Linked DNA regions of Callithrix jacchus. The protein of the gene in region 2 purifies or fractionates together with the protein of the main gene of each other region. This does not show direct contact. Links are inferred from orthologs where the notes say so. Each region holds a gene or a part of one and is shown on either strand. Other genes may lie near its edges. The genes, in order: TIMMDC1 and ACAD9.

The links.
Region 1: the proteins of ACAD9 (region 2) and TIMMDC1 purify together in Homo sapiens (affinity purification with mass spectrometry; 3 studies listed by BioGRID and IntAct, counting the BioPlex papers as one, with this or other methods). This does not show direct contact. The link is inferred for Callithrix jacchus from reciprocal best matches to the Homo sapiens genes ACAD9 and TIMMDC1.

What each region holds. Positions count from the first base shown.
Region 1 is NC_133516.1:83,300,229-83,304,052, forward strand, and holds part of TIMMDC1 (complex I assembly factor TIMMDC1, mitochondrial), read right to left. Parts: intron 975-3,824; coding exon 886-974; intron 562-885; coding exon 494-561; intron 1-493.
Region 2 is NC_133516.1:73,255,076-73,257,796, forward strand, and holds part of ACAD9 (complex I assembly factor ACAD9, mitochondrial), read right to left. Parts: intron 2,550-2,721; coding exon 2,423-2,549; intron 2,179-2,422; coding exon 2,101-2,178; intron 1,719-2,100; exon of another isoform or gene 1,574-1,718; coding exon 1,445-1,573; exon of another isoform or gene 1,253-1,444; coding exon of another isoform or gene 1,218-1,252; intron 879-1,217; coding exon 806-878; intron 284-805; exon of another isoform or gene 1-283. UniProt on the Homo sapiens protein: As part of the MCIA complex, primarily participates in the assembly of the mitochondrial complex I and therefore plays a role in oxidative phosphorylation.

The DNA.
Region 1 (3,824 bases), about 10 Mb from region 2:
TTGAGTATACCAAGGGTGAAGCACAACACTGTCTATAATGACATTTTGCATGAATGTTGATAAGATGTGATAGGAAGCCAACCAAAGAATTCAGTAGTTCTGATTTATAAGTCTTCATATATTTTCTTTCTTTTTTTTTTTTTTTTTTGAGACAGAGTTTCGCTCTTGTTACCCAGGCTGGAGTGCAATGACGCAAATTCGGCTCACCGCAACCTCCGCCTCCTGGGTTCAGGCAATTCTCCTGCCTCAGCCTCCTGAGTAGCTGGGATTACAGGCACGCGCCACCATGCCCAGCTAATTTTTTGTATTTTTAGTAGAGACGGGGTTTCACCATGTTGACCAGGATGGTCTCGATCTCTTGACCTTGGGATCCACCCGCCTTGGCCTCCCAAAGTGCTGGGATTACAGGCTTGAGCCACCGCGCCCGGCCGTCTTCATATATTTTCTAAGCTGTATTTGAGAAGATTGGAAAATATAAACAAAAATGTCTTACCTCCTGCAATTACAAAATGGCTTACGGCATTTTTATTTCGGTATACATTCAGACCAGCGTTCACTGTGCTAGGAACAAGTGAGAAGGAAAATATAATATTTAAAGCATATCCCATTTATCTTTTTGAGTGTTATTTTCGCTGACTTAATAGATTTAGAAAAGCCTACTGTATCAATCTCTGGTCCTAGCCTAGGCCCCTTCAATGTGTTCCAGACATGGATGTCAAACCAAAACTATGCCAGTCATTTATATAAACAAAAGTTCTTGAAAAAAAGGTATCATGAATCACTTTCATGTGGGTATTCAGTTTTCATAATCCCACCCGCTCATAAGACACACTGCTAAAACAATATCAAGAAAATTTACCATCTCACAATTCAGCGTGAACTTACTTGAATATAGTCACAAACACTGCAGTTCTCCAACCCCAGCGCCAGCCATACCGAATGAAGCCTCGTGTGGCAGCACGATGTGCACATTGCTAAAGTTAATTAAAAAAACTGTGAGGTTCCAAGACACCATCATATTTTCCTTATTCTAGAACTGTGGTAGAGGAATTTTAGCTATGGATTCGTCAGGTACACCTAAACAGACAGAAATACTAGAAAATCTCTAGAAATATTATTATTTAAGTATTGAGGCTGAAGTAAAAGTTCCATGTGTACCCTATCAGGAGATGGAAAATGGTTGAGTGTCCCTTATCTGATATTTGAGACCAGAAGTGTTTTGGATTTTGAATCTTTTCAGATTTGGGAATATCTGCATTTAACACTTATTGGTTGAGCATCCCAAATTCAAAAAACTGAAATCTGAAATGCTCCAATGAGAACTCCTTTGAATGACATGTCGATGCTCAAAAAGTTTTGAATCTGAGCATTCAGGATTTCAGATTTGTGATGCTCAACCTGTAACAAATTATAAATCTATAATATAAAATAAGAATCCATGAGTCCCTACTGATAGAAGTAAATTATAAAGAGATAAATAAATAAGTAAATAGAGGGGGAAGGATAAACACTTCCTTAGAGCATAATACTAAGCAATAAATGTAGGAAGAATGATAGACTTTAGAAAATGTCCATTTGGTCAACATAGTCATATCTGTCTCAGGCAGGAATCATCATTAAATACTAAAACTTCCTGGGTATGGTGGCTTACAGCTGTAATCTCGGCACTTTGGGAGGCAATGAGGGAGGGTTGCTGGAGCCCGCAAGTTCAAGACCAGCCTGGGCAACACAGCGAGATACTGTCTTTACAAAAAAAAAAAAAAATTTTAGATTAGCTGGGCATGGTGGTGTGCATTTGCAGTCCTAGCTACTCAGAAGGCTGAGGTAGGAGGAAAGCTGAAGTCCAGAAGTTTGAGGTTGCAGTGAGCTTTGATCACGCCACTGCACTCCAGCCTGGGTGAAACAGCAAGACCCTGCCTCAAAAAATATATATATATATAGATATACATAGATATATAGATAGATAGACAGATACTAGGCTTAATACTTGGGTGATCAAAGAATCTGTATAGCAAAACTCCATGACACGCATTTACCTAAGTAACAAACCTGCAAATCCTGCACATGCACCCCTGGACTTAAAGGATTAAAAAAAAAGTTACGTTCAAATTGTGTATGTGTTTTCCCATGTGTGTAAACACATACACAAAGAGGGAGAGTACACGTAGTAGCAAGAAGATAAAGCAAGTGCGGTGAATTAACAATGGATAAATCTCTGTAATCTGTGTGTGTGTGTGTGTGTGTGTGTGTGTGTGTGTATGGCTGAGCACAGTGGCTTACACCTATAATACCAACACTTTGGGAGGCCACGGAGGGCATGCTGCTTCAGGAGTTTGAGACCAGACTGGGCAACATGGCCAAAACCCCGTCTCTACAAAAACAAAAAAATTAGCCGGGCATGGTGGCACATGCCTATAGTCCCAGCTACTTGGGACGCTGAGGCAGGAGAATTGTGTAAGCTTGGGAAATGGAGGTTGCAGCGAGCCAAGATTGTGCTACTGCACTCCAGCCTAGGTATCAGAGTGAGACCCTGTGTCAAAAAATAAATGAATAAATAACTTAAAAAAAAAATTAAAAAAGTATAAATGCCAAAATAGCATTTGATGAAAATAAATTTGATGAAAAGTAGGATATTTACATAGTCTCAAAGGAACTAACAAGTACTCAAAATACTTATAAATTACAAAGGGAAAACAGTAATTTTACAGGGTATAATTGGCAGAGGCCATCTTAACCAAGTAACTAAAGTAAACATCACCAATAAAGGAACAAAGATATCACATGCTTCTGATTTAATATAAGTTCTAGGGTATTCCTGTCAAAAAACAGCCTGAGAAGCCATCAAACATAAGAAACCATCAAACAAATCCAAACTGAGGGATATTCTACAAAATAAATTATCCATAGCCAAGGCCATGAAAAATAAACAAACAACAACAACAACAACAAAAAAAAAAAACCAGAGAAACTCTTTCAGACTAAATGAGACCAAAGCTGCATGACAAGCAAATTCAGCAGATTCTGGACCAGACCAAAAAAAATTTTTAATTAATTTTTTAATAAGCACTCAAACCTAACTTCTGAAAAAAAACTTTTTAAAATTTATTTTTAAAATAAATGATATTGTGGGATAACTAGCAAAATTTACAGGTCTTTAAATAAGATAACAGTACTATATCATTGTTAATTTCCTGATCTTGATATAATAGTGGTTGTATAATCGAATGTTCTTGTTTTTATGAAATACACACTGAAGTATTCATTATGTCTATAACCTACTGTCAAGTAGTTCAGAAAAAATTAGTACATATTATACAGAGGGAGAATGATAAAACATACATGGTAAAATGTTAACTGGAGAACCTGGATGGAAGGTATATAGGAAATCTTTGTACTATTGTTGCAACTTTCAAGCCTGCCATAATTTCAAAAGAAAAGGTTAAAAATTTTCACCCACTTTCATCTTAGCTGAATTAAAAGGGAGGGGGAAAAAAGAATAAAGAAAAAGTTAAAAATTCTCTGAGCTTGAGCCAGGTGCAGTGGCTCATGCCTGTAATCCCAGCACTTTGGGAGGCTGAGACAGGTGGATCACAAGGTCAGGAGATAAAGACCATCCTGGCTAACAGTGAAACCCCATCTCTACCAAAAACACAAAAAATTAGCTGGGCGTGGTGGCACACGCTAGTCCCAGCTACTTGGGAGGCTGAGGCAGGAGAATTCCTTGAACCCAGGAGGCGGAAGTTGCAGTGAGCCAAGATGGTGCCACGGCACTCCAACCTGGGTGACAGAGCAAGACTCCATTTAGAAAAAAAAAATTATCTGAG
Region 2 (2,721 bases):
TGAGCTGGGCATTCCCAGGTATGGTTGAGTGGCTATAAAAGAGGAAGAGCAATGCAGACAAGACTGGGGAGCACGAGCAAAGCTCTCTGTTCTCTCAGCCAAGGCCTGAGCCCTCTGCAAGGCACTGCAAGGTCAGTGGGTAAAAGGGCAGATAAAATGCTGTCTCCTAAATCTCCAGATCTTACAACCAGGTGCTCCTCACTTTGTAAGCCTTCCCAGGACAGCTTCAAGAATATAGTCAGGGCTGGGCATGGTGGCTCACGCCTGTAATCCCATTTTGGGAGGCCAAGGTGGGTGGATCACCTGAGGTCAAGAGTTGGAGACCAGCCTGGCCAACATGGTGAAACCCCATCTCTACTACATATACAAAAATTATCCAGGCATGGTGGTGTATGCCTGTGATCCCAGCTCCTCTGAAGGCTGAGGCAGGAGAACTGCTTGAACCTGGGTTGCAGTGAGCAGAGATTGTACCACTGCACTCCAGTCTGAGTGACAAGATGATACTCTGTCTCTATCTCCCAAAAAAAAAAAAAAAAAAAAACAGCCAGGCAGCAGGCTGGGCAGATGCCAGGGGCTCTGCACTTGCTTGATCTCAAACTGCCTTGGTGAATGGAGCAGCTTTGCACCTACAGTGCCTGGCAGGCACTCTACAGCTAAGCCCAGGCTTACCCAGGCCCTCACTCAAGACAAAGGTCTGTGAGTAGCCAACAGGCACTGGGAGCTTGACAGGGTCCAGAAACAGCTCATCATCAACAGGGGCCCAGAAGTGGGCCCTTCCTTCCCTCCCCCAAGACATGCCACTCACACTTGTCCAGCTGAGAGAGGCTGAAGAGATTCTGGAAGTAAGCTTCCACGCAGAAGGTGTTGGCCAAGAGAATCTGCCAGAACCGAAGACAGAAAAGATGTGCCCAAATCCCTGTAATCTGACCTCTGAGCTTCAAAAACCCAGCCTGTCAGCCAAACTGGGTAGTATGGGAGGGGTCAAAGGGCTTGGCTCAGGAGTCTCCCCTGACCCAAACTAGCTCTTTTCCCAAAAGCAAGTGACTCAACATCTGAGCCTGTTTCCTCTGAGAGGCAGAGAGCTTGGTACACAGTGGGTCCTCAGAGACTGCACCTGCCTCCCTCCAGCAGAGTGGGCAATGTGCAGGGTCTGCCCCTCGTTGTGGGTGGGGACACTGGATCAGGAACCCCCATCACTCACCTGTGTCTTCTCTCAGGCAGGAAGAAGAAACGGAACAGCCTCATCTCCTAAGCAGCACAGCCTCTCCCATAGCCTCCCCATGCAGGGCCTATGGACACCCCCTGAACTGGCCCAGCCCTCCTCTGCTGGGACTAACAAGGCCCCCCTTACCCGCCCACCCCCCTCCCCGACAATCAACTTCATTAAAGTGCAGCAGGACAGAGGCCAGCAGCCAGGCCCTGTGTGAAGCTGGGCAGTGCTCACCTCGTGGTCGTGGTTACGGAGCCCGATGCGGATGGAGCGGCTGGCCCGCGACAGTACAGCCGTCATGCCATACAGGTTGATGAGGATGTTGGCTACCCGCTTCAGCACCAGCTGCTCCTCCCCGATAGTCTGGGATCACAGAGACTCTGAGTGGAGACTCACTACCTAAACCAGCCCCCAACATGGTCCCTCCCAGGGCGGCACCTTTGCCTGTCTTAGTCTCCCGTTTTCCTTGAGAAAGTGGAGCCAGTAACACCTTTCCCTTCAGGTTGCAGGAGAACCGGCTCTTTGGTCTGTTTTCCCTTCTCTTTGGTCTCTAGATTCAGGGAGGGGGTTAAGGCATGACCAGGTCCCAGAAACTTGGCTAAGACCAACAGCCAGTGCCTACTGTGCTACTGTCATCTTCGGCAGTAAGAGCCCCACCAATCAGATCCCCAGATTCAGGCCCCAGGTGGTGCTGCCCTTCTGATTCTAGGGAGCCTCTCTTTACCTGGAAGGTGCACAGAAAAACACAGCAGAATACTCACCCAACAAGGGTGCCCTCTGAGTAGCTAAGTGGGCCCCAGGACAGGCTGATAAAGCCAGCCTGACCTCAGCCACCCCATTCCTCCAGGGTGATCAAGATTTCTGTTCTAGGCCTGGGAGGGCCTGGTTACCTTGCCAAAGCGGAGCAGCAGCGTCTCCACGGTCCGGCCGAAGTAGTAGGTGTTCTCCTCTAACTTGTTGGCACTATCCTATTAGCCAAGACAGGACTCAGTTCAGCACCTCATCCCTACCATGCCCTGTCCTGTCCCACAGCTCAAGTACCAGGCAGAGATGCCCCATCTGGGGGAAGCAATCCAAGGTGTCATGGACTAGCTGGTGCTCCCCAACTTTCCCTGGAGGAGCCTAGACCGCCCCCACAGTGAACCTTTCTGCCATGAGGAGATCTGGCAAGAGGGCATGCAAGTAGGGGGTATGCCTGCTGGGCCCACTCACCTCAAGACTGGGGTGCACGACTCCAAGTTTGCCTGTCAGCCCCATGTCCACGGTTCTGCCCGTGAAGTCCCAAAGCCTCCGGCCAACAGTCTCCATGACTGTGCTCACACTGGCCCGTTTAAGCTCACTGCAGAAAGTCCGTGGTCCCGTAACTGGAAGCCTTGCTGCTAGTGTTCACTGTCCAGCAACATGGCCTCCCTGGCCTGGGTATGCTGGGCCCCTGGCTACAGGCTGAACTCTCCCCACCCCATCAATTTCAGGAGAGTAGCCAATCTCCTCAGGAGTGCCACACGTGTGCT